Macaca mulatta: one gene and its partners. The protein of the gene in region 3 interacts with the protein of the main gene of each other region in a biochemical or structural test. Links are inferred from orthologs where the notes say so. Each region holds a gene or a part of one and is shown on either strand. Other genes may lie near its edges.

What was found.
Region 1: the proteins of RPS6KA1 (region 3) and TAMALIN interact in a test that uses a peptide from one of them, tested with the Homo sapiens proteins (2 studies listed by BioGRID and IntAct). The link is inferred for Macaca mulatta from reciprocal best matches to the Homo sapiens genes RPS6KA1 and TAMALIN.
Region 2: the proteins of RPS6KA1 (region 3) and ERBIN interact in a test that uses a peptide from one of them, tested with the Homo sapiens proteins (2 studies listed by BioGRID and IntAct). The link is inferred for Macaca mulatta from reciprocal best matches to the Homo sapiens genes RPS6KA1 and ERBIN.

What each region holds. Positions count from the first base shown.
Region 1 is NC_133416.1:59,194,718-59,198,259, reverse strand, and holds the end of TAMALIN (protein TAMALIN), read right to left. Parts: intron 3,054-3,542; coding exon 2,960-3,053; intron 2,862-2,959; coding exon 2,795-2,861; intron 2,604-2,794; coding exon 2,537-2,603; intron 2,051-2,536; coding exon 1,545-2,050; 3' UTR 856-1,544; downstream 1-855. UniProt on the Homo sapiens protein: Plays a role in intracellular trafficking and contributes to the macromolecular organization of group 1 metabotropic glutamate receptors (mGluRs) at synapses.
Region 2 is NC_133411.1:74,125,296-74,129,308, reverse strand, and holds part of ERBIN (erbin), read right to left. Parts: intron 3,979-4,013; coding exon 3,849-3,978; intron 3,527-3,848; coding exon 3,411-3,526; intron 1,536-3,410; coding exon 1,466-1,535; intron 1-1,465. UniProt on the Homo sapiens protein: Acts as an adapter for the receptor ERBB2, in epithelia. By binding the unphosphorylated 'Tyr-1248' of receptor ERBB2, it may contribute to stabilize this unphosphorylated state.
Region 3 is NC_133406.1:214,442,274-214,446,386, reverse strand, and holds the start of RPS6KA1 (ribosomal protein S6 kinase alpha-1), read left to right. Parts: upstream 1-1,432; 5' UTR 1,433-2,499; coding exon 2,500-2,634; intron 2,635-3,463; coding exon 3,464-3,580; intron 3,581-3,786; coding exon 3,787-3,868; intron 3,869-4,113. UniProt on the Homo sapiens protein: Serine/threonine-protein kinase that acts downstream of ERK (MAPK1/ERK2 and MAPK3/ERK1) signaling and mediates mitogenic and stress-induced activation of the transcription factors CREB1, ETV1/ER81 and NR4A1/NUR77, regulates translation through RPS6 and EIF4B phosphorylation, and mediates cellular proliferation, survival, and differentiation by modulating mTOR signaling and repressing pro-apoptotic function of BAD and DAPK1.

The DNA of each region.
Region 1 (3,542 bases), on a different chromosome or scaffold from region 3:
TCTGTGGGAGGGGCAAGTGCAGAGACCCTGATAGAAGGGGTCTGAAGTGTGCCAAGTACAGCCAGCAGCGCAGCCAGAGCAGGGAGTGAGAAGCAGAGGCCAGCAGGGGTCAGAATATCATCCTGGGAGGCCGGGCGCGGTGGCTCATGCATGTAATCTCAGCACTTTGGGAGGCCAAGGCGGGCAGATCACCTGAGGTCAGGAGTTCGAGACCAGCCTGGCCAACATGGTGAAACCCCCGTCTCTACTAAAAATACAATTAGCTGGGTGTGGTGGCGCCTGCCTGTAATCTCAGCTACTCGGGAGGCTGAGGCAGGAGAATCACTTGAACCCGGGAGACGGAGGTTATAATGAACCAAGATGGGGCCACTGCACTCCAGTCTGGGTGACAGAGGGAGACTCCACCTCAAAAAAAAAAAAAATCAATCTCATCCTGGGATTATGGGAAACCGCTGAAGACTGCTAGAACAACAGGGTGATCCGTGATTGGGCCCGTCACAGGCCAGGTGGTAATGCCTCAAGTCCCTGCAGATCTGGCTTGTGCCCCTCAAGGGAGACCTCAGAAGCTGGGAAGGCGTGCCAAGCACACGTATTTCTACAGGGATGGCTGAGGACTTGAGGTAAGCCTTGGCCACCACCTGCTTGGGTATCTGGGGAGGGAGGCTCAAGCTGTGAAGAAGTGTGGGGCCTCCAGCTCAGGCCCATACATGTAAGTTTAAATCTCCCAGCCTATTTCCCTGGCTTCAGGCTGCAAGAAAACAAGACGTGTGTGCGTTGGGCGGGGGTTGGGATGGTGGAGTCAGAGCTTGCCCCAGCCCAATCCTCCCCCTCAGGCAGTCACCACACTGACACAGATGCAAAAAACCATCCATTTTATACAGTTTGTGGTTCAGAAGCAACAATATGCAGAACGGTGGAACAGTCTGTGCTGTCCCCACCCCACCTGAACTTGCCGGTTCCTGTCCCCCAAGGGGCACAGAACACAGGCCCCCTGCCTGGCAGGACCCGACTTAGTTACAGGCCCCTGGGAGGGGCGAAGCCCTTAGGGGTCGAGGCCAGGAGGGAGGAGGACCAGCACCCGATGCCCCTGGAGGCCCGCTGGGTCATGGAACTGTGTGTGGAGGGTGGGGGGTCAGCCCACCACGGGCCATTTCTCCCCAAGGCTAAGGGCGGGGGAGCAAGTAAAGCTAAGGAGAGGGCTTCATGGGACAAGGTCCCCATCCCCTGCTGGGAGGGTGTTCCTGGATACCCCACAAGGCACTACAGATGCAGACTGTAGGCAAGCACCCCCATCTTTGGCCCCCGATTTCCTGGCTCTCCCCCTGCCCCAGCTCCCACTGTGGTTTGGCGGAGGAGAAGAGAAGGGTCTGGGCCCCCCACTCCCTCAGCAGACACCAGCCAGGAATCGACCCGGTGGGCTGAGGCTAGCAACGACCTTCTCCCGCTGCTCTGGGCTCCTGGGGTCCTCTTGGCTCGGCCTCCCCCTCTTTTAGCGCTGTCTGTTGCGAATAAATAAATAAATACCTCCCTGCCCGCCCCCGCCCCTACAGCTGGCTCTCCTCCTCCTCCAGGGAGCGGTTGAGTCCGGGGATGAACTTGAGCAGCCGCCGGCGGAAGCTGCGGTACTTAGTTTTGCGCAGGCCGGGGCCGCACAGGGCCTGCTCGCGGGCCTCAGTCCAGAGGGCGCCCGGCGCGCCCCCACCTCCGCCCCCGCCAGGGCCTGCGCACCGCACACTGGCGCTGCGGCTTAATGCGGCCCGCGGCCCAGGGCCCGGCCCCACTGCAGGGGTCTCAGCGGGGCCGGGACCCAGGACGCGGACCGGGGGCGGCGGGGGCGGCAGCGCCGGCGGCTCGGAGTCCCCGAAGAAGCACGTATGGTAGACGGCGTCGTCGGCGTCGCCCCTGGCCCGTCGGGCGCCTCCGCGGGGACGCCCGGGCACGGCGAGCAGAGGCCCGAAGGGCAGCGAGCCCGGGAGCAGGCCCGCACCGTAGAGGCAGGAGCGCACCGACTCCAGCGTGTCATAGATGCTGGGGTCCTTCACCACCAGGCCTGCGCAGAGACGGGAGAGGTGGGGGGGTGGGTCAGGCCTGGGCCGTAGTGTCCTCCGCAAAGGGTCGGAGGGCATGGATGGGGCATCCCCACTCCGTCCTGCTGACCATCTATCTCTGTGGCCCTGGCCAGGCACAACCCTGAGACCCTACTTCCCTCACCCGCAAATCAGGAATTATCACTTAGATCCTTATGGGGGCCGCTTAGCACAAAAGGGCCTCGGGAAGAATTGACACACACTCTTTGAGCCCTGGTGTTCCCCTCTGTACAGTGAAGATGACACTACCTGCAGAGGGCTAGTGTGAGAATAACCAGAAATGTGGGTGCGGCAGTACCCAAAGTAGTAGTAGCTCAACAAACCTTGCTTTACTGTGGAGGTTTACTAGTAAACCTTTCTTTACTAGAACCCGCCAGTTCTGAGGGGGTAGCACAGATGGGGGATCTGGAGCAGAACAAGTGGCCCTTCACACCCCGGGATCTACTTACCATGCACCAGCCGCTGCTCCTGCACCATTAGGGACCTGTACTCTCCCCACTTCTCATACAGGGTTTGCTGCAAGAGACAGTCCCCACCCCACTGTCACAAGCTAGCAGGAAACTAGCAGGACGTGGGTACAGACAAGGGGTCAGGGAGTAGACAGAAGAAACCTTCAGTTAAAGGAGATTCAGATATAAATGACCCCCCACAGGGCAGAGGCTTGGGAAGAGGAGGGTGGAGGCTGGACATTATCTGGGTTTCCCTACCTTCAGGTACTGCAGACGAGCCTCCAGTTCCGCCTTCCGGATTGATGTCCCATATAGAGTTTCCAGTCTGAGGTTGGGGAATCAAAGGCTGAGTGAGCCACAGGCTGAGGAAATACCAAGAGGCTGAGCTCAGGAGTTCTCAGGCACCTCGGCTCCCAGACATACCTGAGAACGTTGCCCGACGCCTTTATGATGTCCACAATTTCTCGATGCCGGATGCCTTCTACGTTCAGGCCATTGACGCTGGCGATGGTGTCCCCTGCCAGGCAGACAAGGGGGTTAGATTTGCTCCATGGGGCATGCTAGAATTCCAGCATCCTACCTTAGCCAGAAAGGGGAGAGGAGTGGGTAGTAACTCCAAGGAAAACTCCCGAACTCCCTCCTCCAACTTCTCATGGTTCTCGGTAGACTTCCTCTGACATCTCTCCTACTAGATCCAAACACACAGAACCACAGCCATTCGTCTGGGCCTGTAGTGACTACCAGGTTGTCCAGGCCCAGCACCCCAGCCAAAGGGCGGGGACCTCACACACCCAACACCTTCACTCTACCCTCAAGCTCTGTCCCAAGGCTAAGCCAACCCAGGACCCTGGGCTGCCCTCAGAGTTGGTTATTTCTGTCTAGTCCACGCTGGCCATAAGACCGAGTCAATTTAGGGAAGGGCAGGTGAGCAGCATCCAGCTGGGAACCAACCCTGGCCCCAGGCATGGCAGGGCCTCATGGATCCACAGAGAATCAGTCCAGCCTC
Region 2 (4,013 bases), on a different chromosome or scaffold from region 3:
AGATTGAGACCATCCTGGCCAACATGGTGAAACCCCATCTCTACTAAAAATACAAAAATTAGCTGGGAGTGGTGGCACATGCCTGTAGTCCCAGCTACTCAGGAGGCCGAGGCAGGAGAATTGCTTGAACCCGGGAGGTGGAGGGTGCAGTGAGCTGAGATCACGCCACTGCACTCCAGCCTGGCAGCAGAGAGAGACTCTGTCTCAAAAAAAAAAAAAAAAAAAAAAAAGAAAGAAAAGTACAGCATGGAACAAGACAGAACAGAACAGAGAAGGATACCCAGTTAAAAAGTTATGAAGAATCCTTGTGGGTTTCTTTACTGCATTAACACCTCAGGGCTGTTAATATAATCCAGAATTAGAATACAATACAGTTTCCCAAGAAAATTTGGCTGCAGAGTTCATAAGTATCATATGAGACCAGTGTATCCAACACTGGGAAAATAGAGCTTTAAATAAATTATTATAAAGTATTGCTCAACATTAAATAACAAGCATTAATTTTTTAATTAAGAAGATCAGTAAATTGTATATTCTATTTTGTTATAACAACTTACAAGGAATCCTTACACACTGTTGGTGGGAATATATTATGGAGGTTCCTCAAAATATTAAAAATGGAACTATCATACAATCCAGCAATCTCATTACTGGATATATATTCAAAAGAAATAAAATCAGTATGTTGAAGAGATGTCTGCACTCCCATGTTCACTGCAGCAGAATTCACAATAGCAAATCAGCCTAAGTGCCCACGAATGGATGAATGAATAAACAAAATGTAGTGTGTGTACACAAATACACATACAATCACAATGGAATACTATTCAGGAAATCCTGTCACTTGCAACAACATGGATGAACCTAGAGGACATTATGTTAAGTGAAATAAGCAGGAACAAGAAGATAAATGTCACACACTTTCACTTATATGAGGAATCTAAAAAAGATAAACTCAAAGAAACTAAGAGTAAAATGGTGGGTTTCGGAGCTGGCAGGGGTGGGCTGGAGCATGGATTGGGATATACTGGTCAAAGGGTACAAAAGTCAAGTTAGGAGGAATAAGTTCAAGAGCTCTACTGTACAACGTGGTGACTACAGTTAATAACACTGTTATAGTCTTGAAATTACCAAGTAGACTTTAAGTGTTCTCACTATAAAATATGACAAGTGTATGAGATAATGCTATTAAAGTCAGAGTTTGAGTCTGACTTCCTAATCTCTCAATATTTTCACAGATTTAGGAGAAATCAGGCAAGTCCAACAGAATTCATTACTTATAAAGCGATACCTATTTTATAAAAAGTTATGTCCTTCTAAATAGTTCGAGATTTTTCTTATATAAAAGATACATTTACACGTGTACCACTGTATAGCTGCTCTTAAATGACCCTATGTAAATCACAGTGCAAAATTATATAACACAAATAGGAACTCCATTAACTTATAAAATCAGAATGCCCACCTGATTATCTGAGAGCCACATAGCTGTCAATTGCTGTAGCTTTGTAAAGCTAAAGGGCAAATTCTTTAATCTGTAGGAAAAAATACAAACAAAAATTAAACTTTAAAATTTGAGAAGATTTAAAATGAATGAGGGCTCAAAGGTTTTCTGAAAAATGCTGTATAGTTGCACATGAAAATAGGAGAAAAAAATCTAGAAAAGTCCCATATAATTATTTGTACAGGATATAAGACAAAATATCTAGTTTTACAAGAATTCGTTTCAAAAATATTAATTCTTTAATTGAATCAATTCACCTGGCAAGAAAATGGACAACAGAATAACCTTTAAAAATAACAGTTAATTGTCCCTGCCTTAGAGAAAAGAACACATTAAGGAATGTCTCATAAAACTGCTTTGGTTTATTTGTACTCAGAACAAACTGTTATAGGAAGCACTCTTAGTGATAGTTTGATATAAAAACTGCACTGCTCTCTATTTGTGAGCCAGCAGTTATGTAATCTAGAAGACTATCCTAAGATGATAATGAGTAAAAACAAAGTGCAGTCATTCATCAGTATCTGTGGAAGACTGGTTCCAGGATCTCCCTCAGACACCAAAATCTGCAGATGCTCAATCCCTTATATAAAATTGTATAGTATTTGCATATAACCTATGTACATCCCCCCCATATATTTTAAATCATTTCTAGAGTACTTATAATACCTATTAGAATACAAATGCTATGTAAACAGTTGGTATACCGTACTGTTTAGGGAATAACAATGGGAATGTTGGTACACGTTCAGTACTGACACAATTTTCTTCCAAATATTTTCGATCTGAAGTTGTTTGAATCCACACTTGCAGAACCCACAAATACAGAGGGTCAACTATAAATACTCATTAGAATACTAAATGAAAATACCCTATTTAAGAGGGAATTATCCAATTCAGCCTTGCTATCTTATGCCTAACTAGTCTTCCATGGCTTTCTTTCAAGGTAATTTGCACAACCTACTGTGAGTTGTAGGAATTAAAGGGTCAAACACTGACTTAAGAAAGCAGTGGTTCTTTTAAATAAAACAGAAGTTAGAATAACATAATTAGTAAAAAAATTGAGTTTAAATTAAAGCTCTACCTTATAAGCTATGTGAGTCACCTTAAATCTGAGTCTTAAAACCCTCCTACATAAAATGGCAATACTATTATACTATTTCATAGAGCTGTTTTGAAGACTTCACAAGACACTATGAAAGCAAAAAGTGAAAACACTCTACAAATGCAGTTGAATCATCATTAGTATGTTTACCTCAGGAAAAAGTATGGACATTCTGTTTTTAACTTAAACATTGTTCCAATTTACAACCTTAGTGATCAATTTGCTCTGCATCTTGGCTTTGCTGAAACCAGATTTCTGTCCAGAAAAATATTAGCAACAGACTAGATACATTCCAAAATTGTTTTGTTAAATAGCAATATTAAGGTGAAGATGTGACTTTAGGAATAAAAGGTAACTGTAAGGAGAGAATAAGGAATATATAGCTAAGTCAACCCACAATGAACAGTAACAACCACCGTATGATAAATTAACATCAGAAAAATTAGACCACTCCTTGTATTTAAAGAAAAAACAAAAATACACACTTAAGACCTCATTTAATGTTACTGATAAGTTCCTGGAAACCACAGCTTTTGCAAAACTGTGTATGGCAGGTCCTCAAATAATGTCATTTTCTTAAAACACTGATGAACGAAAGAAGTGATTTCATTATAAGAAGTGATTTCATTATATGTTGTTTCACTGAAAGTCACACTTTCCAAGAGCCTATCAGTAACATTGAGGACTTACTATGTATATTTAAAGAGAAACAAGCACTAGTTATTCTATTATATATCATATGAAACTTAATTTCATCTAACCAACATCTCCTATAAACCAACTGATGAATATAGTATCACAAACCTATTGTCACTTAAATTAATGACTTTTAATTTTTGCATATCACCCATTTCCTCTGGAAGTGTCTCAAGTTTATTGGAATGGAGAAACAGCACAGTTACATTTTTCCAGCTTCCAATCTGAAAGAGAAATATAAACTGAGGATCAAAAAATTTGGCCTACAGGTTGATCAACACATAAAAACATCATTTTTGAAAGTTATGAAATATACTCCATATTTATAAAAAAATAATGATTAGACTTTCTAATTATTAACTTTTATGTACATAAAGCATTTAGGAACCTCTTCTAAATTAACATAGCTAATTATTATTCAGAAAATAAATAACTTGATAAACTATTTTAGAAAGAAAATAAATGAAGCCACACTAAATAGCTATAATGAAGATAATCAGAAAAAAATGAAAAGACAAAAATCTAGATAAATCTAAAATACATTACCTCTGGGGGCAACTGTTGTAAGTAATTATGATCAGCAGCAAAAGTTCTTATGTTAGTAAGCTGCCCAATAGATGAAGGCAAAGCTTCAACTTCATTGAAACTACAATCCAGTTCTTCTACTGATATTAACCTTTAATTTAAAAAAGGAAATATATATTATTTTTT
Region 3 (4,113 bases):
TACACTCGGGTCTGATTTGACTGCGGCTCTCTGGTGTTTTTGTGGGGCTGTTCCACCCACTCCTCCATCTGTCAGGGAGGGTTAGGTATCTTCCCCTGAAGACAAGATTGTGTCTCCGAGGGACAGGACCTATAGTGGGAGGTCCCAGGTGGACTCTAGTACTGAAGGAGAAGGGGGTTTGGGTAGACGGGTGGGCAGGACGTGGCTCTGGCTGATTTACCTGTCCACCCTTTCCTGGCATTTGATGCCTGCTGACCCCAGGCCAGGCAGTAAGCAGGGAGGCACCTGGGTCCAAGCTAGCTCTGCCACTGTTTGCTTTGAGCCTCGGTGAGTCACTGTCTTCTGAGCCTCAGTTCCCTGTTCCTGGAATGAGGATACCAGTTTTTAGGATATGATCAGAGTCAAAGACATCAGATTGCACTCAGGAGATAGTCCTCTCAGCCACTATCTGGGCCCTCCTCAGGTCCTGGCATAGGAGGAAAATCCTAGGGAAATGGAAAACCTCAGAGGTGGGTCTGTAAGAAATACCAGAGTCCTCTCCTGAATGGTGAGAGTTTGCAGATTGTATCCCCTCATCTCTTTCCCCACCCCAGGTACAGCAGCAAGAACCCACAGTTCCGCCCTTAACCCCTTCCTGGGGATCCCTGCCCTGCTGCCTGCCTGTGTATCTGCCAGGTGTCAGACCTATCTGCCCTAGGTATTGTCAGTCTGCTTGGGGCTCGTTGCCTCTCCTGCTGTCTCTCTTTGCTGCCTTCCTGTGTCTGTGGTTGGGTTCCAATCTCTCTCGCCACTTGATAAGTGCCTGACTTCACCTGTTGGGCACATGTCACATGTTAGGTGCCTGTTGTTCATGTCCCCTTCTGTCTCTGCCTGTTGGGTTTATGTCTTCATCTGTCTCTGCCTATTGGATACATGTCCCCTTCTGTCTCTGCCTATTGGATACCTGTCCCCTTCTGTCTCTGCCTGTTGGGTTTATGTCCCCTTCTGTCATTGCCTGTTGGGTTCGAGTCACCATCTGTCTCTGCCTGTTGGATACATGTCCCCCTCTGTCATTGCCTGTTGAGGTTTGTTTTTTTTTTTTCCCAAGGCAGTCTCGCTCTGTTGCCCAGGCTGGAGTGCCCTGACGCGATCTTGGCTCACTGCAACCTCTGCCTCCCGGGTTCACGCCATTCTCCAGCCTCATCCTCCCAAGTAGCTGAGACTATAGGCGCCTGCCACCACGCCTAGCTAATTTTTGTATTTTTAGTAGAGACAGGGTTTCACCATGTAGGCCAGGATGATCTCGATCTCCTGACCTCGTGATCCACCTGCCTTGGCCTCCCAAAGTGCTGGGATTACAGGCGTGAGCCACCGTGCCCAGCCTGCCTGTTGGGTTTATGTCCCCTTCTGTCATTGCCTGTTGGGTTGGAATTCTCTTCTGTCCCTGCCTATTGGAGATGTGTTCCTTCTGCCTTTGCCTGTTGGGTTCATGTCCTCATCTGTCTTTACCTATTAGGTACATGTCCCCTTCTGTCTCTGCCTGTTGGGCTTGTGCCCCATCTGTCTCTGCCTGTTGGGTTTGTATCCTTATCTGCCTACACACATTGGGGATGAGTCTCTGTCCACCTCTGTCTGTTAGATATGAGTCCCCTCCTGCTTCCCCTTATTGGGTACACATCTCCATCTGTTTTCTATTGGATATGAATTCCTCCTGCCTCTGCCTGTTGGGTGCGTGTCCTTATCCATCCCTGCCTGTTGGGTATGTGTTCTCTCCTGCTCCTGCCTGTTGGATGCCATTCTTCTTTTTTTTTTTTGAGACAGAGTCTCGCTCTGTTGCCCAGGCTGGAGTGCAGTGGCATGATCTCGGCTCACTGCAAGCTCCACCTCCCGAGTTCACACCATTCTCCTGCCTCAGCCTCCCGAGTAGCTGGGACTACAGGCGCCCGCCACCACACCCAGCTAATTTTTTGTATTTTTAGTAGAGACGGGGTTTCATTGTGTTAGCCAGGATGGTCTCGATCTCCTGACCTCATGATCCGCCTGCCTCGGCCTCCCAGAGTGCTAGGATTACAGACATGATGGATGCCATTCTCATCTGTTTCCACCTGTTGGGTGCCTGCTTCTGCCTGTTGAGTGTCTCTCTTCATCTGCCTCCACATATGAGGCACCTGTCTTTGCCTGTTGGTTACCTGTTTGCTGTTGGGTACCTCGCTGCTGTTGGGTACCTGTCTGCTCAGCAGCTGCACTGGCAGAGGGCTTTCCCTTTGCAGACCCACAGGGAGGATGGGGGAATGGCCAGAGGGCAGCCCTCGGGCACTGAGGAGTGGGGGAGAGAGAGGAAGGGAACGTGGTGAGGGTGTAGGCCTGGTGCTGGGAAACCACAGGCCCTGAGTGATTGGCTCCCTTGGGCCGGGCCCAGCCCCCGCCCTCACCCTGCACATCCGCCTTGGTCCCGGCCACCACCGCGGCAGCCCCGGACTCTGCCTGCTCCTGCCATGGTGCCGTGGCCCTGCTGGGCGGATGGAGCAGGATCCCAAGCCGCCCCGTCTGCGGCTCTGGGCCCTGCTCCCCTGGCTGCCCAGGAAGCAGCGGCCCAGGATCAGCCAGACCTCTCTGCCTGTCCCTGGCCCTGGCTCTGGCCCCCAGCGGGACTCGGTGAGTGTACCCAGATGTCTGGTCCTGGCCTGGCTGTGTCCCTCGCAGCAGGTGCCTGGGAAGCCAGCTTAGCGTAATCTGGCTTTGGGCTGTCCTGGCCCAGGCCTGGCCCTGCGGGGTGACTGGACCCTGCCCAGACTTGCTTCCTGGGTAAGTGAGGAGGTACTTCAGGGCTTCAAGGCAATGGCAGCAGATTAGAGGGAGGGTAGAGTCCTGGAATGGCTAGGACGTGGCAAGGGGCTTCTAGTAGGTTTGTATGAAGGAAGTTTGGGAAGATGAGCCATGCAGTCTCTGGCCTTAATTCTGACCTGCCCCAGGCCAGCACTTACCAAGTTGATGGGGGAGTTTGGGTGACTCTTGGGTCTTTGTGCACGTCAGCCCTGTCCTACTGACCAGAGGGATCCCCTCATCCCATCCTGACCAGGAACGAAGGCCCAGCTCTACCTCCCCATATGAGAACAAACCTACTTCCTATTGTGGCAACCCTAAAGCAGCAGGGGGAGGGAAGCCCCACAGGCAGACCTGGGGCAGGTCTCTGGGTCTCAACCGGAGCCTGAGGTTGACTCAGCCTGGCCATGCCTGGGCATCCCTTTGGGCCTAATCAGGCCAGAGCATCGGGAGCAATAGGAGTGGTGCCTCTTCTGTTTGACCTCCCCAGCCTTTGAGGCCCTTTTGAAATCAATGACCTTGGAGGCTGGCCCTTCAGGGAAGTCGTCTGTTGGGCCTTTAGGTCTCATCTGCTGAGGTCTGGTGGGAATGGCCTTGGGCAGGGGAACTCCTGCTGCCCGGATGGGGCCCACCATGCCCACCAGCTCTGTCCCTCCATCAGGATGAGGGCGTCCTCAAGGAGATCTCCATCACGCACCACGTCAAGGCTGGCTCTGAGAAGGCTGATCCATCCCATTTCGAGCTCCTCAAGGTTCTGGGCCAGGGATCGTTTGGCAAAGTGAGTCATGAGCCCGTGGCTGTGAAGGCAACCCTCGTCATGTTAGAGGTGGGGGTCAGTGGTCACCTAGGGGCCCAAAGGATCAGAGGTCACCTTGGTACCCAGGGAGAACAAAAAGACCAGCTTGGGGCTCAGAGAAGATGGAGGTCAGCCTGGGCGCAGACCTCTCCCATCTTCTGCCCTTGCTTCCCTCTCTGCCTTCTCAGGTCTTCCTGGTACGGAAAGTCACCCGGCCTGACAGCGGGCACCTGTATGCTATGAAGGTGCTGAAGAAGGCGACGCTGAAAGGTGAGTAGGGACACCTCCCTGTGCAGAACCCAGGCTGGGCTGAGGGAGGCAGCCCAGACTTCAGGGGCCTTGGGTCTGGCAAGGGAGACGGCTCTGTCTTCAGGAGCACCTAGTTCAAAGGTGGAGAAACAGGCCTATTTCTCAGCCATCTCTCCCCACCCAGTCCCCCTCCCCCTAAGCCAAGTGCCAATGACTGGCTGTGAAGGTCTGGAAGGTGGTAACAGGGTAAATGTAATATGTTTGTC